3 linked regions of the Astyanax mexicanus genome follow. The protein of the gene in region 2 interacts with the protein of the main gene of each other region in a pairwise test. Links are inferred from orthologs where the notes say so. Each region holds a gene or a part of one and is shown on either strand. Other genes may lie near its edges. The genes, in order: eif4a2, pih1d2 and spred1.

Region 1 (8,090 bases), on a different chromosome or scaffold from region 2:
GTATTTTAGCTGGTGGAATCTTTTCAAATTGTTCTTTCTGTTTTTTTTTTGTAACTCTATAAAAGTTATTTCTGGTGGTTAAAAGTGAAAGCAGTCAACTAAGATGTGTTTAATAGATGTATAATAGGAGTATCACAGAATTGGCACGCTCGAGTCTGTTCACCAACTAGGAGGTGGTGGTGGGTAAGAGCAGTCCAAGAGCATGTCCAATTCGGCTCCTAGTCATGATTGTCCGATCTTGTCTATTAAGGAAGTCCTTTTTGTATTTAATATTAATGATGGGGAATATTTCATACAGTTTATTTTGTGGATTTCTGTACCATTTTCTTCTACAGTGAACTTTCGACTAGAGGGTAGGCATCCATAATCGTAATATAGTTCTAAGTGAGTTCCTGGTTTCTTGCTTCCCTTGCTAAAATTAAACATATGACATTTAAAGAGAAATAAAAACATGTCCAGTCACACAAACAATTACACATACAAATGCTTTCACTTAAAATTCACTGTGCTCTTATTTATTAACCTGCAACAATCCTATATAAAAGCAACTCAACCCAAACAGATTAAGGAGAAAATAATTCTGCTGCTATTTTATGAGATGAAATCAAAACTCAAGACACCCATTTACTCCAATAGCAGCATCAAATTGTATTTTTACTCACCACTAAAAATGTGTTCCACAGGTCTAGGAATTTGAAGCGTCCAGCCAGTACTAAATTCCAGTAGGCGATTGCCATTTCTAAATCTAGAACAAAGCAAACAAATACAAGGTGAATAAATTTAATGAACATAAAAAAAATGACTTAAAAAATTTCCTCTAACAGAATAAATGAATGATTTCCTACCCAATCCTTTCTGTCCAGGATTCTTTGCAAAGTTGAAGGTAAACTGATAGAAGTCTTTAAATTTCCCTTGGTCCTTTAACTCCTGCTCCATTTTGGGTAATTGTGCTTTAAGCTTCTCTATGCTGTCACATCTACAGAAAGAAGAGGAATATTCAATATTCAAAGCTACGGTAGAAATACCGTAGGTACCGAGATAAAAAATAATTCATTCAAGACATGTGAAAACAACTGAATGCCACTTTATAAATCCCCGGAAACAAAACGAAAGAAAGCAAGAGAAAAATCACCCTTGTTCTGTCATTCCATCCATGAATTCCTGCTTTGAAAACTCGCATTGCGTTGCAGCACGAAACTTCCAGGCAATCAGTAGCACACTTATACTGGCTGGATCGAGACCCAGGTCATCACAGAACTGCTGAATGCCATCTATACCAATCTTATTGTCATCATGAGGGTCTGTGAAAGTGACGAAAAAAACATTTTTAATTTCACACATTAAGTTTCTAAAAAAAAATAAACCATCATTGATCATCAGTAAATTTAGCTTTTCATTTGGAAATCAAGGGACCAGAGTCTGGAGAAAAAGTGAAGAGTCTAAACAGTGCTGGTGTAGAAACACCTTTAGAAACCTGCACTTACCTCTGTACCGATTGTAGAGCTGTTCTAACTTTTTCTTGTCAAACGACCCCTTTAGGTTTTGTACATAGAGTTCGGGATTCTGGAAGAAGTTGTCTGTGGCGACCTCTAGTTTCCATTCATTCTGAGACAAACAGTTTAGTGCGGTTTTCTCATTGGACTGGGTGAAAATCATGAACTGGCGAACTTTATCCTTCTGTGAGGATTTCAGCTTGTTCTGTTTGGGAAAGCACAAACAATATTAGCTGATTAAGGTGTATTTATATTAAACATTGATAATATGTTGTGTTACACATATACTTCAGACCACCTGTTTACTCTCCACTCCAGCAAAAGATGCTCCACATATGAGCTGCTAACTCATCCATTTCCCTTTATAAAGCTACAAGTCGTCTCTCAGGCCAGGCGGTTTGCTTTTGCTGGGTTTTTTTTTTTCAGCTATAGCTGCACAGCTGCACCAAGAGATGTGTGGGTACGAGAGAGAAGCACATAGTGCATGCATAAAAGCAAAAGATGCATGAATTCTGCATGATTTGACCATTCACATTAATGTTGCATGTTCATGGATTAGATTTGTATGTGATTTAGGACCACATATGGAAGAAACTCAAATCTGATTTGAAAAAAAAAATGGATTTGGCACAATCACACAGCTCTATCTAAGCCACATTGAGCAAAAAAAAAAAATCTATTTGACTCACTTTAGCCTGGTAATGTGAACGTACCCAATGTGACTTCAATCTGATTTTTAAAAATCTGATTTGGCACGTTCACACAGCCATGAAAAAATCGGATCAGATATGAGCCAATGAGCAAAAAAATAATTTAAGTCACTTAAGCTTGGTAATGTGAACGTAGCCTTGTTAGTGTAGGGCAGCGTTCAGTCACCCAGACTGGGAAATAAACCCCTGTCTCCCAAATGATGTGGTAGCTCACAAGTAGGTAGTGGTGTTATCCACCGCGCCACACAAACCGTTACCAAACCAGGGCTGTTTTACATGTTTTAAGTTGTATTTTTCTCGGATAAACTGGATTGTAGTATTAGCTAGCCCTCCGTTTTAATCCGAAACCAAAACAGGCCTGTCCATTTTAGCTAATCCTCATCCTCGGGCTTTCCTGTCCATCTCCACACCTGAGTGGGCTGTGTATAAATAAGCCCCTCAGGTGTACACCCCTGCGCTCCGGGCAGTGTGGAGATGGGGAGCTTTAGCCGGTAAGCTAGTTAGCTAGGTTAACTCTGTAACCCGGTGTTCTGCCGAGTTGTGCTACCTTGTCAACCCGTGCTTCGCTAGTGTATATTTAAAAGGTAAACATACAAAATAACACAATATTATAGCTAGCATGTTTCTAGTAGAGGTCTATGTGCTGTTTTTGAATAGCATAAAGCACTGTCTCAGCGTAAAGTTATGGTAAAGAGAGGTTATTCGAATCTGCTTTATATATTTTTCAAATAATAATTTTGTTTACTATTAATATTAATTGTCATTTACACTTTTATGTAATGACATTTAAATTAATCAAAAACACAGGAAAACAAAGAATAAAATAATCATTATAAAAAGCACGAAAAATAATAATAAAATATGTATGTCAGCGCATGCGCAGTGCCTTTAGGAAGCACGTATCGACGGGTAGCATAACACGACAGAACACCGGGCTGAACAGAGTAAACCCAGCGGCTTTTCTGAGCGTTTATCCTCCTCCACAGCGCTTCCTCCACCCGAACCAAAGAGCAGACCATCGGGAGACACCCCGTAAAATGTGTAAATCAGGTTATCCGCAGCGCAGTCCGCCGACAAAACCAATAAACTTCTATTTTTTGTTCTCATTTACCATGTTTGTGATCTCCAGACACCCTCTTCCGCTCTCCCTCACGACCCGTCATCTATTTCCGCTACTGCGCACTGGGCTTTCCTCCACTTTCTGTTTTTTTTTTCTTTTTTCCTTTTTTTAACTAAATATCCAGCTGGTATTTCAGCGTTAAATCAACGTTGGGTTTGGAACAGTGTTGATTTTATAAAGTGAATTAACATTTATATGGCAACTTCTACCATAACATCAACGTTGAAATGCCAGCTGGGTATTCTATTTAAGAAAAAAAGAAACAAATCGACGTCGTACGTTCATCCTTTAATAAAACATAGCTCACACTCGAGATTCTCAAAATTGTATAGATGAGAAAAAAACACTGTATGCCATGATGAAAAATTATCAACCTTTGTAATGTCTGCAATGTCTGTTCTTATTTTAACGTTGAAACAACATTATGTCCTCAACTTTCTGCCTTTTCAATTAGCATTTTACATTTATCATCATACAATTTCAAAAAAACGGTTGAATGGAGGAATGAAAGTGGTTTTACTTTCATTTGCAGTAACTGCTTTTTAATTTGGCACCAATTCTTTACGATACCTGTACTGTAAAGAATATAATAATGACTAAAATATAACATAAATAATTAGATCAATATGAACAGAAATACATGGGAAAACGAATTAATAACTATTTATGCGTTTAAACGTTTTTTCCCTCTTGAGGGCGCTAGATATCATTATCTACCATGCACAAAAAATAAGAGACCACTTCCGTTTCTGAATCAGTTTCTCTGATTTTGCTATTTAAAGGTATATAATATTGTACATTCATATTAATGAATCTACAATGTAGAAAATAAATTAAATGAAGAATTAAAGAAAAACATTTATTGAGAAGGTGTTTGCAGACTTTTGACTGGTACTGTAAATGTCCTAACTTTACCTGGAACTATCTAATTCATGCAAATCCTATAAAAAGTCATAATTTTATAATTCATATATCCAGCAGTAGAAAGCTAACAGACCCAGGCCCAGGCCCAGGCCAGTAGTACAGCAGCAGCAGCAGGCCAGCCACAACTGCTGGAGACCCCGTAGCGACCGCACCACGCCTCCACATTGCGGCAATATCAATGCGCCTCGCGATATAGTCCTGCGTATAGATTGCCAACCTTCGTTGTAAATAACGGGAATAAACGGCGTTAAATCGTCTCTGAAAATTATTCATTATCGTAGCTGGTGCAGAAGGTGTAGAATCCACAGCAGAAAGAGGCACAGGTGCAGCGTTTCATGCATGTCCGGTATGTTACGGTGGGAAAAGAAAAGGAGTCCCGGTTAGATAAATTCGCCGGAGGATCACTCGCTCCTCCTTTCCGAGTGAATGCCGAAGTCGCGAACGGATCATGTCTAGCGGTTCTGCCGATTACAACAGGTATTTCGCCTTAATATCAAGCTAATTCGGTTTGTAACGGCGTAAATAAGATCTTCTCTCATAAATAGCGCGGTTTTGTGTGTATTATTTAATTAAACGGGCGGTCTGTGGCTGTGGCGCCGCACCGCGGCCTGCGCCACACCAGCATTTTTATTAGCTTAGCAGTTTAGCTAACGTTAATTAACGCTAACTACCAACAGCATGAAACCGGGTTAAAACACCTTATTTTTAATTATTTTGTGTTAATTGGGTATTAAAATACACATTGTTTATATATATTTTAATGAATGTGCTAGAAAATGAATTAATATGCAATTTAGCGTATTTATAGCTCAAAGTTTGCTTCTCAGTACTGCGGCCTAGCTAAAAGTCAGTTAGCTTAGCCTTTTAGCTAACGTAGTTAACACTAATTACCAGCAGCATGAAACCTGTTTAAAACGACTTTGTGGTGTTTGGGTGATAAAATACATGTGTTTTATATGTTCTAATTAATGTGATGGAAATATTAATTTATATCCATTTTAGCGTTTTTTTTATGTAGCTCCAAATTTGCATCTCAGTACTGCGACCTAGCTAAAAGCTAGGCTAACCTGTTTTTCAGATTTATAGCCAAATATGGTTAAATCAGCTTTTAGCTTAACTTAATATTTAATATTAAGTTTATAAGCTTAATATTTGAGTAATATTAACCTAGCCGACTAGTTAAGCAAGGCTTGTAATATCTAATCTGGAGTAAAATTGTAAACTGTGTTCGTTCGTTCTGTGCATAAATAGATAATACTAGACCTAAACATGGCTATAGCTGCTCAAATTTACCATAAAATGACGAGCTGGAAAGCTTCTGTAGAAGATGGGTCACTAAAGCTGGTCTGGGTGTTATTAGTGGTGGTATGTGTCACTGTAATGGGAGAGACTGGGCTCTCTTCGCACACTTCATCCACGTGGCATGCAAGGAACGCAGCCCCTCTCAACACAGTACAACACTGGGAGAGTCTCTATTACTCGCATTTAGTAAGAGCTTTTATGTAATCATGATGATATTTGCTCTAAATATGTGTGTGAGAGGAAGAAAGTTAACTTTTTGTACAACCTGTGGACATAATTGTAAATTGTATTACCACGTGGATGGATGGATTAATAGATAGTCTTGTCAGAAACCTGTATCATAAGAGGCCAGTTTGCATTGCTTATTTTTTGTGTTTTCTAGCTCCAGAGATCGAGACCATGGGGGGCCAGAAGGAATGGAGCCTGATGGTATCATCGAGGTAACTAGCTAGCTTAGCTAACTAATGGGAAGGAATATAGGCATTTTATTGACACTTTCAATGGTAAAACCTTTGGGATCTTCCAAGAGTCTTTTCCATGCTGAAGATAAGGCTTTTTGTTTGTTGTGAATTTCAGATGTGATCTTGTTTAATGAATAAAGAGTCTGTTAGAATATAAGACTTCTGTATATAGATAGATAGATGTGCAAATATAGAAAATAAAGTTGTCATTCTCAATCCCCCCCCCCTCCACCCAAACCTGTTACTGTCTCTTGTTTGCATAATATTTGTATCATTTAGCGTTTATCTAGGGTGATTAATGAAGGGGCTTTGCTAAAGTTAGACTCAAAAGGACCTTAATTCTTTAGTGACGCCTGATTTAATGATCATTATTAATGTTCTAGATACCGATCTCTCATAGTACCTCACAGCGGATTAGCCCACTTTTATTATGGTTTCTGTGGGTTTTATTTTATTTATTTTTTTGTTAATATTAATTTAAGCCTTAAGCCTTTTATAGTGCAGGGAAAACAATTTTCAATGGAAGTAGTTACAAACAGACTTTTTCAAGAATTTCTGTTGAACCATCAATCATGAAATGACAGTGACAGTGACTATGAATTCTAAGCACGCTTTTGTAGCATTTATGCAAGTAAGAACTCATTCAACTGGGTTTAACTCAGATTCTTCTGCCTTGCAGAGCAACTGGAATGAGATTACAGACAATTTTGATGATATGAACCTGAAGGAGACTCTTCTCCGTGGGATTTATGCATATGGTTTCGAGAAGCCGTCAGCTATTCAGCAAAGAGCAATTATTCCTTGCATAAAAGGTGATTCTGGGAAGCTGATTGGGGAAGGGATGGCAACCGGTATTTAATGCACACTTGTGTTGCAGTTTCTTGAATGTTGTATTATATTTTTCAGGCTACGATGTCATTGCCCAAGCCCAGTCAGGAACTGGCAAAACGGCCACGTTTGCCATCTCCATCCTGCAGCAATTGGAGATTGAGCAGAAAGAGACTCAGGCTCTGGTCCTGGCACCAACCCGAGAGCTCGCTCAGCAGGTATGCTGTACCCGAGGTCATGATAAACTTAAGTGTGTCTCAGACCAAGGCGGCATATTTGGGCAGTAACTGAAACAAAGGTACAGTTTGAATCTTCTTCCTGCTATGTAAATGGTGACATATGGACTTTGTTTCAGAATATTTCCTTGTTTGGTGTTTAGCAGGGAGCAGAAGTTCAGTTTCAGTATAAGTGTGTGAAGCAGTTTCTTTTAAGTGACATTCTTTTATTTTATTTCTTGTTTTTGTAGATTCAGAAGGTCATCTTGGCCCTGGGTGACTACATGGGCGCCTCATGTCACGCCTGCATTGGAGGAACCAATGTCCGCAATGAAATGCAGAAACTCCAAGCAGAAGCCCCGCACATTGTTGTGGGGACTCCAGGCCGTGTGTTTGACATGCTGAACAGGAGGTTCCTTTGTAAGTGTCTGAATCTAAAACAGCTGTTCAACAGGTTTCTCTGTGTTGGATTAAGTGTGAAATGATGGTTTACCATCTTTCGGGACTGACAAGTCATGGAGATATCTTTTTAACTATTTTGCTGATCATGCTTATTTCCATCATAGTATTTATAATGCAGATTGCACTTTAGTATTAACAGTTAACCAACTGCAACATTTCTCACTTTCTGTAGCTCCTAAGTGGATTAAGATGTTTGTCCTGGATGAAGCAGATGAAATGCTGAGTCGTGGATTTAAAGATCAGATTTATGAAATTTTCCAGAAATTAAGCACAAACATTCAGGTGAGTTCAGTAAATCAGATCTTATGATTTTCTTCCATACAAAAGAACTGTGCTGAAATTACAGGATCTAGGTTCTCCTGGTTCGTGTGATAATGCTAGCAGAGTAAAAACATGGAAGAAGAGCAAGTGCCCTACACCGGAAATGAAATGTGGTCAGACCTCTTTCTTAATGTCCAGTGGCCCCTGTTTCAAGGTTTAGTGCAACAGTTATTCTAAAGAGTAAGATCTGTTAAAAAACTGGAAGGAAACCTAATGAGTGGCATAATGAGCACTGTGTGATTCTCTGCAGGTTG
Region 2 (9,071 bases):
GACCTGCTGAGACAGACTGAGTTTGTGCTGCTGCTGTATGAAGCTCAAAGCCAGTAGATGGATCTGCTCCTTCTCCTGTGTGTTTTCCTCAGCTCTCTGAAGAACCTCAGGATTAAATGCCACTTCCACTATGGAATAATTTTCTGTAAAATAAGGACAAAGGAAAATAAAGTACAGGAATGTATTTGTTGATTTGAAAAACAGGATAAACTGTGTAACAGGTGCTTGAGAAGAAGAATGTGCTGATACTTTACTACAGTATTGGTCCATACATAGCCACAAACTACAGTAGTTTTTACTATAAACTTTATGGTTTAACTTAGGCTAAGTTCACATTACCAGACTGAGGTGACTCAAATCTGATGTTTTCATGGCTGTGTAAACATGCCAAATACGATTTTTTTAAACCAGATCTGAGTCACTTTCATATGCGGTCCTAAATTGGATATGTATCCGATCAATGGACATGCAACATGAATGTGAACGGTCAAGTCAAAATTCATGCGTCTTTTTGCTTTTACTCATTAGCATTAGCATTAGCGCTACGTGCTTCTCTTTCATACCTACACCCACATCTCTTGGTGCAGCTTAGCAGCTATAGCTGCAAAAAAACAGCAAAAGCAAACCGCCTGTCCTTTTTTCACCTCCTGGACCTGAGCATGAACTTCAGAGCAGCTGTTTACTCTCCACTCCAGCAAAAGATGCTCCACATATGAGCTGCTAACTCATCCATTTCCCTTTATAAAGCTACGAGTCTCTCCTCTCTCTAATATGAGTTTTTTTAATAGTTGTTGGTGAAAAAGGAGGCGTTTATACAGGTATCAATGTGCAGCATGTGAGACGTTTCAGGAACAGATTCAGATTCACTCACATTACACACAGATACAGGTCACTTACATTTAAAGTGAATGTGAACCATCAAGATAGACAAATCTGATCTGAGCAAAATCGGATCAAATTTGAGCAATGTGGCTTAAGTAATGTGAATGTAGCCTAATTATTTTCAACTAAGCTTGAAAGACTGAAGAAAGAATCTGATTACATAATCTTTATTAAAAATATGACAGGAGATTATTTACCATTCTTTTCCTTAATAGTTTCCAGTTTTCCACCACACACAGGAATGGGCTGAGTAGGAGAGGTGGGTGCAGGCACTCGTTTCCATCCACACAAATTTACATACAGTATTCCCTTTTCTGGCCTCTGGAAAAGATCACACACACACAAACACTTTAAATCCTTGAATTCTATGCTTATTAATGATTTTGAGATATTTCCTACATTATATGTTTTATTCTGTAAGCCACAAACCTGCATAATACTATATGTAAAATAATATATGTAAATATAGGAGTAAAGACGTGAAGTTCTAGCTAGAACACATAGTACACACACCTCTTCCCATTCAATGTGTTTTCTTTCTTTTTAGGATTTTTTTTACATTGTAAATGTAACATTGAAGACTGCATTATTATTATTTAGTAAGCAAAAAGTGTTTAACAATTCAGAATATGTTTTATACTTTAGATTTTTCTAAGTAGACATATTTAGCTTTTAATCTAAAAGTTTTGACACTAGCAGTCAAAAGTCAAAAGTTTTGACAAACCTTCTCCTTCAGTGTTATTCTTAATTTCTTCATATAATTTATTTCCTACATTGTAAATTAATATTAAAATACATGAAAACAATTAAGGGACGCATATGGGGCAAAATGAATATGAACCTATTTATTTATTTATTTATACAGCAAGTTAGCCACTCATTTTTTGTTATAAGGAGAGTGTTTGTGCCTGGGGAATTCTAAATGATAAAAAGGGAATAATAGGAACATCTGGTTTTGCACATACTGCATGGGATAAGATAAAATCATAATTTATTCAATTATGATTCGTCATTATGATTGTCTTACAAGTTGGGTTAAACACTAGTGTCTTTAGCTAACTGTTTCTGGAAATGTTTCAAAATAGTGTAAAATAATCTGAATTAGGTGCATACCATATCATATAATATCGCCAACATTTTTATTGAATATTGTGAATGATATTATACCCTGAAATATTGTGCCATATCACCCACCCCTAATTAGCACTTTTTTAGCAAAAGAAAAAATCACACTGTTCTAATTTCCCATTATATATCTACTAGAGACAGATTATATCTGTCCAGTATCATTTATTTTACTTTAATCCTGGATATATGGAGATATCTGGAGTGCATTATTGACTGTTACAAATCTGAAAAATTCTAGTATTTTTTAATATCTCAGTTAGGGGTGTACCATATAATTTAATTTTCATTTTGTTGCAGTAGTGTATTATTGAAATATTGTTTTTTTTTTTTAATTTTGTGTTTTGTCATATTGCCAAGAGTATCGTTATCGTGAAAATATCATAAATTTTGTGATTTTATTTTAGAGCTATATCGCCCACCCCCACTTTAATTCTTCTTAATTCTTATTTTATTTGTTTTATTTACATATTTTATTGATGTTTTATTCTTATTTTATTTTTATTCCCATTTTTGTTCTAATTTCTAAAGCACTTAAAATTATTCTTGTGTAAGAAAGGTGCTATACAAATAAACTTGCCTTGCCTTTAGTATGAGTTCATGCTGTATTACATTACAAACATCTGAAAACTAAGCTTTCAAACTATAAAGTAATCCAGACATGTACTGTAATGACTTTTTTTCTGGCATTTTCGACAGTTTTATAGTTATATTAACAGGTAAATTAAGTTAGTTATTATGTACTATACCTGTATAGAAGTGCTGATGCAGCAGTGCGGCTGTGGAGGGGATAAACAGTCCGCTCCCTCTCGTAGATGCCGCTGAATAAACGTCCTGTAGGCTTCAGGATTATTCTGAGACATGTCGTCTAAAATAGACCAGAACTGGCTGACCTGCTGAAGAACAGCATTCTGCTCCATGGTTAACAGCTTTATTAGAAGGGAGCTTAAACCTTCCTATAGATAAATAACTAAAAACAGCTTTTAGACACGATAATGCAGGAATACGTTACCTATCAAGACTCTACATTAAATTAGCGAACCTGAACTAGTCTCAAATACAGTTATTTATATGCTGTAAGCCTAATAATAACAGAAAAACAACAAAATAAAAGTTACTATCCAGCGTTAACTCGCTACAGCTGCCTGACCTGCAGTTAGTGTTACTTGTTGCCAATAGCAACGAGTCCACTGTAACCACTGTACCACATTGCCCACTAGAGGGCGCTGAATCCTCATTTATACATACTTACATTTCTAAGCTGCACTCTTTATATAAAGATCTGGGGGGGGAAATAAGAGATCACTTAAAAATGATGAGTTTCTTTGATTTTAACAAATAAAAAAAAAACATTTGGAATATAATCAAAAGGAAGATGGATGATCACATGCTTGAATAAAAAAAAAAAAAACTAAAAATCCATGTAAAAACTGATTATAGTAGGCCTTTATCTTACATAAAATGGATGAAAAAAACATTGAAATATCGCACATTTTACTAGCTGAATAACATTTCTGCACATTTTTGCCTTATATTTGTCTGAATTAAGATAGAAAGTATTAAATTATCATTTCTCTGTGTGAATTTACAGTTATAGTGCAGCTAAAACACCAGTAAGAGTAGGACCCACGCAGCCAGATATCTAATTTAAAGTAAATTCAATTTTTTAGATTAAATTATTCAAAATTATTCAAATTCTTAATGCTTTTCCAAAACTGTATGGATGTTTTTATTTTTCCAAAATTTATCCAGGACTGGAAATTGCTATGTTCAAATTCCATTACTTTTTTCAGGTTTTTCATGGCGGTACGAGCCCCGCATGTTTCCTAAAAAAACAGAATACTGTATAATGCAATATTATTAACTCAAATCTCTAATAATGCTAACTGGTAACAATGGTAACAGTGATAATTTGAGATACAAACACTTACTCAACCTTATCCCCGTAAGTGGTTGTTGTGGTGCAGTGGATAACACCACTGCCTTCCAGGTCTGGGTGACTATGCTGTGATACACCAATAAGAGTCCATGGGCAAGACTCCAAACACTACAAGTTACTCTGGATAAGAGTGTTAGATAAATGCCATAAATGTAAATATAAGTGTCAGTAATGTACAATACAGGCCAAAAGTTTGGACACACCTTTTTTTTTTCAATGCGTTTTCTTTATTTTCATGATTATTAACATTGTAGATTCTCACTGAAGCATCAAAACTATGAATGAACACATGTGGAGTTGAAATAACTAAAAACATGTTTTATATTCTAGCTTCTTTAAAATAGCCCCCGTTTGCTATGATTACTGCTTTGCACACTTTTGGCATCATTCTCTCAATGAGCTTCAAGAGGTGGCCACCTGAAATGAAAAGTTTTCAAACAGTCTAGAAGGAACGAGTTTCCAGAAGTGTTTATTTGATCTTGTTGCTCCTTCGTCTTCTTCACTCTGTGCTCCAGCTCACCCCAAACCATCTGGATTGGGTTCAGGTCCGGTGACTGTGGAGGTTCAGCTCATTTTTTGTTAAGTAGATAAAACTCCACATGTGTTCATTCATAGTTTTGATGCTTCAGTGAGAATCTACAGTGTAAACAGTCATGAAAATAAAGAAAACGCATTGAATAAGAGAAGGTGTGTCCAAACCTTTGGCCTGTACTGTATAAGAAAAGCAATTGAACAGGTTTTAAGGTACACAACACAAAGTTTATTACAAACATCTAAATGGAATAGCAAACTGTATATTTTACAATAAAAAAATAAAGCTTGAGGGTGTCTGTAATATCCAGCAAAAGGAGGAATTCCGGAGGTTATGGTGTTGGACTGCAATTTCACTCCATCCTTCAGTAGCTCTGCGTGGAGGGAAAATTATTACACATTCATATCTCATGATTCATATCTCAGAGTTTCAGGAATAAATTCACAGTGATTCACACTGGCTGCACAGCTGCTTAGTCATGTAGAGTACATCACTCAGAACATGACTGTGACCTACCTCTATCATCTCATAAATCCAGCCTAAAAACTCAGCCACTTTGGTGTAAACTCCTGGGTGATTGGGCTCCGCACAGCCTGTTCCCCAGCTAACCACTCCAACCAGTCTCCATACGTTATCATCCTGACAAACCAGTGGGCCTCCACTGTCTCCCTGTGTGAGAAGAAAGACCATCATTCTATTAGCTGCTGTTATTCAAGCATGCACTTCTAAAATCCACTTTTTCTTGTTATTTGTACAATTCTATAGATCTCTCTAAGTTGTATATCGATGCTGCATATGAAACTATTTCTCAACCTCCATTGTCTGCAGAGGTTAGTAAAAGAAAATCCTCAGAAATACAAGTTGATTAGAGAGAAGTAAAGTGTCCACGTCAACCAGTGACTTCATAGCCTCGCCCACCTTGGCTCAGGAACGCCCACAGGTAGAGCATACAGCTTCTGTTTACAGCAGCTAGTTAGCGTTATCTATCTTGTGCAGGTTTAAATCGGATCTCCGGTGGATTCCATGTTTTATTGAGACCTTAAATATACACTAGGGGAGCACAGTTTGACAAGATAGCACAACACGACAGAACACCGGTCAAAACGGGGACTGTTCGCATCAAATTTTATGATATAGAGCACATATAGACTCTGGGGCTTCGATGTGGTGAAACTGCACCAGCACTGAATCACCAAGTCTGAGGTAAGAGTTTAGTAGCGATAATGTTTCTTGGCCGCTGGTCCGCCCAAGTCTGTTGCTAAGTGTTAGCTTTATCTAGGAGTTAAGAGTTAACTTTATCTAGTACTCTATCTAGTGCTATATCTTTATAACTAAGGATGTATATTTGAAAACACTTTATTCTTTGAGTTTTAGAGCTGTAAAATTGACTGTGGGGGTTGGCAGCAGGTACGCGTTTTCTGCTGCAGTGCTGTTAGCCAATCAGAGGCGATATATTTGCATGTATGAATATTTATGAGCAAAAGCCAAAACCTGTCTTTCTTCAGAGACCACTAATCCAGTGAACTAAAGCAGGGCTAAACAGAAACGCCTGAGCACTTTTTTCACAAAAAAACTACTGACATGCCATTCATTTATACTAGACACAACTAGACTGTTTTAAATGAATTTAAAAAGGATAAAATGAGACCTTTAAAGATCTCTTTATAATCTATTGAGTTTTTTAGGAGCTTACCTGGCAGGCATCCACTTTGCCTTCTGTATAACCTGCACAGAGCATACGTGACGTGATCTCTCCATTGTACATGCAGGAGCTGTTGCATTTCTTTGTGCTTATTAAAGGCACTGGAGCCTCTTTTAATGTGTCAGGAATGTGAACTGTGCAGAGAAAAAAATATTGTTGTTATTGGGCCATTCCACTGAATGGGTGCAATTTGCTTATTGTAACTCTTACAAACTAAACTCAATTTTTTAAAACCTTTTTTACACTTTTCAAAAATCTAATAACACATGTATTTAACTATTTAAAACATGTTCTGGTCAAACTCAGGCAGCTTTACTAATTTTTACATTTTTTTAAGGTTTCTAATCTGAATATTAGAATTACATTTTACTTAGTCCTGTTACTAAAACTCATGTGATATTTAAAAAGCATGTTTAAAAGCAAGTCCACTAATTCCTTTGATTATCTCTTAATAAAGTCTACATTTTAAACAAATGGTTGACTGCATGTTTAAATAATTGATATTCATGACAAAAAATACTATATATGCATGCACATTGTATTTTCTAAAAGATGCAAAGCTATTTTCATTTTTTCAAGAAGACCAAAACCTGAACTTAATCAAATTTATCATCTTGCAATTTATTAAACAATAAATAATGATGAACCAAACAGAACTGTGGTTTATACAAACTAATATTTACATGAATAAATCGATAAACCAGAGGACAATACTAACTCCTATCAGGACTGATAAAATCATAATAAACGCTATTTTAAAGTTATTTTGTGTGCACATTTATATATGTAACATACATGGAACATGCCTAATAACACAAATGTAATATTGAAACTTATATCTATATTAGTGGATGCAGATTTGCTACCGGTTGTTTCTATATATGTTTTATAAAGAAATGATTTCTTTACCATCGTCAGGTTGTGTATAACCCCAGCCTGAAATCCAGCACTGCGTTCCTCCAGGAAGGTCATGGTCGTACTGTGGTAGACATGCTGGCCTAATAGTGTCTGAGGTTGAAAGAAAAACAAAATAAACCATAGTGAGAATATTAATATGTATGATTACAAGGATTACTACTCACATATTAGTGCATATTTACACTAATATTTACAATATATTTTAAATGAAATGAAGCCAAGGTCTATAGACAATCACCTTTAAATTCTAATATATATTTTTTAAATTAAATACTATTATTATCTAATAATATAATTATAAAAAAATAATAATAATATTTTAGGTACAAGGGGTAATTTTTAATACTGTGATAAAGATCTGAAATCCATTGACTCTTCTTTAAATCTTTAAATCCCTTAATTATGCCCTCTTTCTCTTAGTACACTTTTTGTACTAAATATTGAGTGTACCAAATGCAAATTCAACACTTCCAATTTACAGCATTTCCTTAATATATTATTATTATTGTGAAGTTACAGAAAGCTGGATCAACCCATGTGAAAAGGAAGTGTACTTAGGAGCACTAAAAGTATGCTCAAATTAGATAAAGAATACTAAAAGTGCATTTTTAATTTAATATACTTAATTAAAATACACATTAAATATACTTTCTCTGTATTTCCATAAAATGTATTTTAAAGGAATATGCTTTGAATTATATGTTGTGTTAACAGAAAATATATGTCTTGGCATTAAATGCTGCTTACAGTGCAGTTTAGTGTATTTTTTTCCAGTAGTATCAATACGTAAGGTGGTACATTTGCAATATACTTCAAGTGTATTAAAAATAAGGTTTAAAAAACACATACTTAAAACTAAAAAGGAAGTCAATATTAATGTGCATAGATTTAGAATGGGGTGTAATAAAAGCTTATAAAAGTGTAATGCCTGGGTGTCCTAATATATTTGTCCATTTAGTGGAAGAAAAGTGAAAAATAATTACAATTATAATGAACAAAACACAAAATTGATGGTACATATGTTTAGTTCTCACCTGAAAAATTCAACGGTGTTCTCAACTTCATCAGCGCAATATCATTATCATGACTTCTATGATTATAATTCTTATTGTAGATGATTTTCTCCACAGCATATCCTGTATACTGAGCCAGTTTGGCTGTATTTCTTGTAACAATCCCAGCATAGACCACCCAGCTGGAAACCTGAGGTAACCTGTAGCTGAAATTACAAAAATAAAGCATGGTAAGTTTATCTGATTGAACACAAGTGAAATTAGGAAAGTTTTAGGAACTGAAAGATCTCCCTGGTGAAAAAAAGATATATACTTAATTGTACTTAAAACATATTGAGAAATGTCTAAGTATGCTGTAAATATAATAACAGATTTATGTACTTACTTAAAATATATTAAAAGTACATTAACATTATGCTTTCATCAAATGTTGTAAAGTTATCTTTGATCATACTTTTTAAAAACTACAATATAGTGTATTTAAAATAAATAGGTTAATACAAAGTACACTTTTAGTTTAATGTAATTCTATATGCTTCTAAAATATTATTTACAAATATATGTTTGTACATTTTTAGCAAAGTGTGTTAAAAACAACTGTTACAGTAGTTTACTTAAAGTGCAATGTATCATGTAACTTTATAGAAAATAATAAAATTACCACATTGGTAACTGTTTTAAATATATATTTAGGTATTACATTTATATAACGGTTAACATGTATTTTAATGCTCTGTAATTATAATTAGGAAAATATACATATAAGTAAATTATAGGTTACAGTGTTAAATAGCACATTTAAATGTCAAATAAATAATTTTAGTAAATTTGTACCACTTACAAGAGACAGAAACAAGAAGCAAATTTGTACTCTAATGTAAATACATCACATATATTTAACATCAATTCTTAATACATTTTTAATACACCTGGTGTATAATAGTGATACAGTTGTGATAC
Region 3 (7,950 bases), on a different chromosome or scaffold from region 2:
TACACTTTTTACGGTAGATATAATTTCCGCAAAATGCTTATAAGTCACAAACTGTGATCTACAAACGATTTTGCCTTCATTGGCCTAAATCGATGCTTATCCTACATACTAACTGGTACTGTTGGATGATTTTGAGCAGGAGTGATCATGTGATCTCTGCTTGTTGCAATGAAAGGTACATGATTACAAAAACATACTGTAGATTTAATCAGCGTATCACTACCAGCATCTAATCTAGCATCACAGGAATGAAGGTAAAAATGTGGAAGACTGTCAGCAAGTGATGATGCATGTATACTTTCTGGAACAATGCGAAATCAACACTGCGTCACAGGTGAGGCGACACGCTGTTAGAAATGGAAAACACACAAACAGACATGTATATAATCCTTTGTTTCTGGGCGGCTCAAATATCACCCACACTGTTAAGCGGGGATGTTTATTGTTTAACTGAAAGAGGAGGGAAAATTTGCTAAAGGATGGTGTCGTCTTGCTTCTTGGGCATGTGCTGTCTCTTCTTTCTTCTCCACCCTCCTCCGCCTCACCACACCAGCAGCATTTGCTGATCCTAAGCATTGCGCAAAAGGACTGTCAACAAGACTGTCTATACCATGAATGAGCATTGTGATGAATAATTAAAATAAAAATAAATAAATAAATAGCTGTGGAATGTGTAGATATCTGTGCTATATTATTGGAGATTTCCCTTCAGTGTAAAAAAGGGACAAATGAAACGTGAATGAATGGCATCATTTGTGGAAGCACATGACTAGTTCAAGGACACAGAGTTCCTAGCTACATGACATGAATGGATCTGATACAGGAGAGACATGGCAAGAGAACATGGGCGTATTAGATACTGACAGAGAGAGAGCCTGGGAAACCGTGAATGTGAATGTGCACGTCGTCGTTTACTGCTGCTGACAAAAATGGCCTAAAATAAGATGTACAGATATAGCTAAGAGTCAAACAGATGAATATTTGTCGTTGCTGGGTCTGTGATCTGCTGTGTGACCCCTGTGCTCAGTGTGGAGACACACTGTACAGTGCAGCTCAGTGTGAATGAGAAGCCAGGTACTTTATGAATGGAGGCGGTCACGTGGCCGAAGCTTTTCTCAGTGACTGTCAACAAGCGCACGCAAGCGATCAGCCCATTTAAAAAAAACACGGGCACGGAGGGCGAGAAAAGCACCAAAATCCGCACGAAAACAGCCTTACTCGCACTGTTAATCGAATATATTCCTTTATACTCTCAATTGGGCCTAATCTGAGCGACAAACACTGCCATTTTGGCGTTTTTATGAATGAGGATTGTGATATGCAAATGAGAGTGATTGAGAAAAATATGGCGTCCGCACAGTTTCTTTCAGCCTGACATTGCGGTAATAAAACCCGCAAACGAAACCAAATGCCACGTATTACATGTTCTTTAATACTTAAAAAAATCATATAACTGTTAAATCGAAATAAGGCTCTCAGCTCTCGCTCCAGAGATCGTGGATATGTTTTTATAAGGCGAAACCGCGTTTCATTGTGGGCAAAAAACACAAAACCGTGGAGTAGAAAAGACGTGTCTATTAACTAACTAGCTCAGTTTGGGAGCTTTATTCGTTTGAAACGGGTGTATTTTGTAACGCTTGTATCAGATACAACGTTAATAAACTTGTTACTTACGCTAGCCATCCACTTAAATCTAATTTACAACGTAGCGATAGTTATTTCTACGAATGCTTCGAGAGAACTACAGAAATTTTACTGTTAGCTGGTTAAATCGTGTATTTTACTAACTAGCTATCGAATAATGTAAATAAACTACTGTTAAATAATATAGCTAGTTAGCTATCCTAACTAGAAACGACCCAGCATACTCGCTAAATAGATAGCCTAGATGGTCAACTAACGCTAGGTTAGACAGCGTTAAATATCTGAATGGGCCTTTTTAATAAGGCAAATTTAATTCAGAAAACCATAGATAGATAGCTAAAAAGAAAACAAAAACACATTGTTAGCTAGAGGTATTTAGCTAGATAGCTAACTAGATAATATACACACACAAGTTTAAACAGCTAACTAACTAGTTAGGTTAGCTAGTTAGCTAGCTACGTTAGCTTAGCTATTAACCCAACTATACATTCAATAACCATGACAACAACTAAATCCAAGCTAACGCTAACTAGCCAAATAAAACTGGCTCAGAAACAAACAAAAAAAAATAACATTACGGCTCTGCTGGAAATATATTTTAAGTTAGCAAGCTAACTAACTTAACTACTAAAACCTTCGCTTTACAAACAAACCCGTGTAAGTTAGTTATTTTCTGATCTCTGTCATGCATTAAGACCACAAGAAACACACACAGAAACACACAGACATCCTCGGGGTCCAGCAGCTCAGAGGAACTGTGAACTGAGAGATATTGGTACTCACTCGTTGTTTGGATTTGCCGATTCTTCGCTCATTTTTTTCTCACGGGGATCCAAATCCTGGAAACAGCATCGACGACGCAGTCAAGGCTGGGAAACGATCCGCAAATATCACCATTTTCTTTTCGTTCGCATTAAAAGAAAGTGCCAGTTTTTTTTTGTTTTATTATTAATCACAAAGCAACTGTGTAGCGCTGGGGCGCTGCATGCTTCCAGTTTTCTCCCACAAGGCGAGTTCAGAATAAGAACGGCGACCGCAGCCACTGATCTCTATCTTCCCAATGAGTAAAATCCATTTGGAAACGAGTGGCTGTCCTCTTCATCCTCGATCTGCGAACACAGGCAAATCCCAGACAGAATTGCAGTCCTGATCTTCAGATTGCAAGCAAAACAAAGCGAGAAATAGATAGGTAGCTACTAGCTAAATCTGCCACGGTCCGTGAGCCGGCTAGCTGGAGATCGAGCTACGCTACGTTATACTATATAACTCCCCTCTCTCTCTTTCTCTCTCTCCCCACGGCAACTTGAAGTTTCAGCCAACACTAGAAAACACAAAACAGCGCTGCTCCTGTTTATAACTCTCTAGCTGGCTCGAGCGCAGGCACTCAAAAACAACGAACGAAACGATAAATATCTGTCCTTAATTGAGTATCCAACGAATTCGCGTTAAAGAAATAGCGAGATTAACAGAGTCTCCTCCTCGGGAAGTTCAGAAGATCTGTGCTGCTACACGAACTCCATTTTCAACTCAGGCAATGCACACCTCGGAAAACTGGGCGGAAGCGTTTGGCCTGACTTCTCCGCTGAAATCCTTCCGCGACGAAACCCGAATAAAACACCATTAACAAAACAGCAAACTCATTTTTAGACCGAATCAACTAGCGTGATTTGTTGTTTAACGAACACAAACGTTGAATATTTCCCACATGCCCCCACCCTCATAATAGCTTGATTCAGGGACGGGAAGTGAGGATTTCATATAGTCCCCATACCAGTTCCCAAAAGAAGTTTGGCCATGCAGGCAGCAGAGGAGCCCAAGCTGAAAGCGAGGAGAAGGAGAGCGAGAGAAGCTACACACGCTGGTGATGGACTCTCTGCTTTACATTATGCTTACAAGCAAGTAAGCAAACAAACAAACAAAAAGGAAGACATAAAGACAAATGCCGCCACTTTCATTTAGCGTGATATTTAGTTTTAGTTACATTTGTTTAAATACTTAAAAAGTATCCCAACTGGCTCTACATCGAATACATACAGCAAGCACCGTTTATGTGTAGAAGACATTCTTATGGTGTTAATATACACCAGAAACTACAGTCTATGTGATTGTGCTATATATATATATATATATATGTGTGTGTGTGTGTGTGTGTTTGAGTAAAATGAACATTTTTGACTTATTCCGTAAACTATGGACAACATTTCTCCCAGATTACAAATAAAAATATTGTCATTTAGAGCATTTATTTGCAGAAAATGAGAAATGGCTAAAATTGCAAAAAAAAAAAAAGATACAGAGCTTTCAGACCTAAAAAAATTGCAAAGAAAAAAATTCATATTTTTAAAGTTTTAAGAGTTCAGAAATCAATATTTGGTGGAATAATCCTGGTTTTTGATTACAGTTTTCACGCATCTTGACCACCAGTCTTACACACTGCTTTTTGATAACTTTATGCCACTACTGGTGCAAAAATTCAAGCAGTTCATCTTGGTTTGTTGGCTTGTGATCATCCATCTTTCTCTTGATTATATTCCAGAGGTTTTTAATTTGGTAAAATCAAAGAATCTCATCGTTTTAAGTGGTCTATTTTTTTTCAAGTTAGTTAGCTAACCTAGTTCAGTGCACTAGCTTTATAGAGACAAGAGCCATTGACTGTGATTTATGGCTTCTCTCAAAGTTCACACTTTTTGTTGTGTGAGCTCATCTGCAAGTGTGTGTTTTCCAAGTGTGCTGCTCAGTTTCTCAAAACTACAGGCCACATAAACACAGAGCTTTCTGAATTACACTGAATTAAAGCAGTGCTGGGCTAAGCTGAACTTATGCTGCCTTCAAGTCATGTCCGAAATATCTTATTTACGAGATGAGTGCACATAAATGCCACCACACACTTGTAATTACCAATGGGAAACTTGGATTTCTTGATGAGCCCTGACTTTCCAAGTTTTTGGGCGTGTCAATAAAAAAAGCTGATTGCTGTGTTTTTCATTGATTGTGTATTATTTACTAACACTGTAATCTATTTTAATGGTTTACTCTCGTTCACATGTGAAAAAAAAACGAATAATTAATTACATGCTACTGACACTTTTTTCCCATGCTGTTTCCAAACAAAACTTTTGATAAAATCTGAAATGTCACACTAAATATTTGACACTGAAAAACAACACAAACTGCAAGTAATTATTTTGTTTAATCATAATATACAGTACCAAACAAAAGTTTGGAAACACCTTCTTATCCAATATTTTTATTTTTATTTTATTTTTTTCCTACATAAAATTAATTCAGTAAATTCATACTGAAGTCATCCAAACTAAGTAGGAACACATAAGGAATCATGTCCTGATGAGAGCCAGTTTCATCATAATGTTTGATGGTATTTATGATTGCACTTAAGGATACTTTCAAAGTAAAAAAAAAATTGAAGTTGAGTAGTTAGCTCTTGCCATAATATGGATTAGAACATTACTCAAATAGGGGTAATTTAGTATGCCAACTCTACCTCTTCACAACATAACTGATGGTGTCAAACATATTTAATAGGGCAAGAAATTATTGTAGTTGGCTTTTGACAAGTTAACTGAAAGTCACTCCAGATGACTACCTCATGAAGTTGACTGACAATGAGAAGATGTGCAAAGCTGTCATCAAAAAAAATCTAAAACATTATTAAAAAATCCATGTTTTTCTTAATATTTTGAATGAGTATTAATCTACAATGCAGAAAATTTTAATTAAAATAATGAAAGAAACACTGAATTTAAGGTGTGTCCAAACTTTTGACTGGTATTGTATTCTTTGAAAGAAACACCGATATACCATCAGTTGTTCCATGACAGTTAAAAGTTCTCAAAAGAAGCAACGAGCATTAATCAGTGAAACAAAAGTGAGCTAGTTTCATTATGTAGTTGTATGTAAAGCTGCATATGAGTGAGATTGGACCCTTATTCTGTTTTATATATGTTAAAAAAATTATGCCATAACTTTTTTACACGCACCAGTAAAATGTAGAGTCCACTGTAAAATAAAGACAGTATTTATTTGATTAGGTTATAGGATTATCTGGATTAGGCCTAAGTGCCCTCTGCTGATAATCCTCTAAAGGGTAATAGAACAGGTTTAAACACTGTAGTTAAAAAACAAATTCATATGAGCTAAAACTGGCTGTGTGTCCAGATTTTCAAATGTACATGCCACACTAAAGGCAGACTTTTCTAACACTGAATTTAAGCAGAACTGAAATAAGCTTACATACCATAGGTACATATGTTATTTTTGGAAATATTGAGGAAGAGTGTCCACAAAAGGATAAGATAAATTAATATGATATAGAACAGTTCGGAAACCAAACACATATGGGCTACAGGAAATTCGACTGTTGGAAATCACATCTATCCTGTCCTCTAAAAGTCGGCAAGTAGTGCTGTGTACTGTCAAGAACGTGGCGATATGACATGATACACCGTTTATAATTCAGTATGTCAGTATCATAGACTGTATATAAAGATGGACGTCGTGTCGCGGTTCCCATTCATTCAATGAAAATGAAGCCAAAATCTTCCGCCATTTTGGCGATTCAGAGACCAGAGTCTGCGCAGTAGAGACCAAAGGAGGGAGAAAGGCTGTGGAGAGACCGCCTACTCATTTGAATAACCCCGCCCCTGAGGGCTGCCTCGCGGTCACAGACTGCAGAGCGGGGCGGAGCGGAGCTGACGGTCTGTTATTGGTCCCGCCCATAAGCAGCCCTTTTACCATAACCACACCTTTTTTGAATAGAGCCGAATAAAGTTTTAAAAACCGAATTCTGTGGGGATATAAAAATTTGACAATATAAGCAGAGGTTACATTAGCTGTTGCATTTAAATAATGGAGGTAGAATTACAGTATATTAGAAAAAAACGTGATTGAAAGTTGTCTGTTTTGCCATTGAAACCTATGGGGATGGGTGGAGTTACACAGCTTTCTGCAGCCGAACAGCAGGGGGCGCCCGACCTGTGGTGGCTTCACTTTTAAGAGACGATGCTCTGTCCAGCTATACACAGTCTATGGTCAGTATATAAACAGTAGGCAATATAGGCAATATATTGCAATTGTTTAAATCAAAATGTTGGAAAACCACTGTTTCTTTTTTACATACAGTATTAATTGAAAATACAGTATACAAACATTTAAAACAAAATATATCCATATTTTTGTTACACCCTAACAGGCAGCCACAAATAATATGATTTCTTTGGTTGTATTTGTGTCTTGGAGAAGCTTGAGATACGACTTAGCTTTGTTGTCATATATGAGAATTTTCTTCGTGTTTCTTTGGATTAGATAGAGCAAAGTTAAAGTTGCAACATTTGTATATGGAAGGCCAAACCAATTGATTCTCAAAGACCTACACCAACAACAGAGTCTATTGACATTTTGTCATTGATCCTAGTCTGGGTCATTAATACTAGTCCTCAAATCTGTGTAGTCCAAGACTGTGCTTTATCTCTGTCCTAAAAGCTGACCCCAAAATGTGATACTAGCACAGAGGTCAGATAAAGGTTTCAGCTTATTTACTTTGTTACTTAAAGAAGAACATTTCAATATGTATTTCTATTAGAGCTTAAGTGTGTAAACAGCAACTACCTGAAAATATCGAGCATCTATTTTCAGAATACAGTTTCCCATCATGAGCTACAAATCTCAAATAAAGTAGGCCTTGTCTCCCCTTAACAGAAAGACAATGAGCATCTTTGAAATTTCTAAACAGCATGCTTCTATCCTTTTGAGTATTTAGAGTTCAGGAAGTCAGGCTGCTTTCTCATCTCACAAATATGGATGTTCATGCATTTCCTGTGTTGATCACACAGCAAAATATACCAAACAGAAGGTCAACAGGATGTTTAGCTCGAAGGAGTCTCCCAGATATCCAGCAGAGGTGCTGCTGTTGGGAGAATTTTGGTTCTTAAATGCTAGACCATTATGGTCTTTAGGTTTTTGTACATCCTATACTGTCTACTTTCATAGCATTAAAACTGGAGCACCTTTTGGGATTAAATTTTGCCTTTGCTATGTGCTTTATTAATGAATACACATTAAATTATATAGCATTATTTATCTTTGGTAACATGACAAAGGGGAAAGTGTATTCTGCCCCACTAGCTTAGGCATTAAATATCTGACCAAAAAGAAAACAACTTAAAGAACTGTTTATTGATTTTAGGTAGGTTTAATGACATTTAAAAAGTCCATATGAAATAATGAAAATCATTTTAAAAACATATTGGCAAATTATTTGTATTTATCGAACAAAATACTTTTACTCGA

The links.
Region 1: the proteins of pih1d2 (region 2) and eif4a2 interact in binary tests that used the Homo sapiens proteins (3 or more experiments, as listed by UniProt). The two-hybrid records come from large-scale screens. The link is inferred for Astyanax mexicanus from reciprocal best matches to the Homo sapiens genes PIH1D2 and EIF4A2.
Region 3: the proteins of pih1d2 (region 2) and spred1 interact in binary tests that used the Homo sapiens proteins (3 or more experiments, as listed by UniProt). The link is inferred for Astyanax mexicanus from reciprocal best matches to the Homo sapiens genes PIH1D2 and SPRED1.

What each region holds. Positions count from the first base shown.
Region 1 is NC_064415.1:55,387,192-55,395,281, forward strand, and holds the start of eif4a2 (eukaryotic initiation factor 4A-II), read left to right. Parts: upstream 1-4,616; 5' UTR 4,617-4,695; coding exon 4,696-4,724; intron 4,725-5,931; coding exon 5,932-5,989; intron 5,990-6,689; coding exon 6,690-6,822; intron 6,823-6,916; coding exon 6,917-7,056; intron 7,057-7,304; coding exon 7,305-7,473; intron 7,474-7,527; exon of another isoform or gene 7,528-7,604; intron 7,605-7,687; coding exon 7,688-7,797; intron 7,798-7,827; exon of another isoform or gene 7,828-8,006; intron 8,007-8,086; coding exon 8,087-8,090. Other genes in the region: dcun1d1 (DCN1-like protein 1), read right to left, coding at 663-745, 846-976, 1,133-1,301, 1,485-1,698, 3,315-3,317. UniProt on the Homo sapiens protein: ATP-dependent RNA helicase which is a subunit of the eIF4F complex involved in cap recognition and is required for mRNA binding to ribosome.
Region 2 is NC_064425.1:3,956,046-3,965,116, forward strand, and holds the start of pih1d2 (PIH1 domain-containing protein 2), read right to left. Parts: upstream 3,316-9,071; 5' UTR 2,928-3,315; coding exon 2,757-2,927; intron 1,204-2,756; coding exon 1,080-1,203; intron 144-1,079; coding exon 1-143. Other genes in the region: tmprss5 (transmembrane protease serine 5), read right to left, coding at 4,843-4,851, 4,995-5,147, 6,172-6,314, 7,090-7,188, 8,133-8,317.
Region 3 is NC_064421.1:14,570,384-14,578,333, forward strand, and holds the start of spred1 (sprouty-related, EVH1 domain-containing protein 1), read right to left. Parts: upstream 3,302-7,950; 5' UTR 2,460-3,301; coding exon 2,428-2,459; intron 1-2,427. UniProt on the Homo sapiens protein: Tyrosine kinase substrate that inhibits growth-factor-mediated activation of MAP kinase. Negatively regulates hematopoiesis of bone marrow.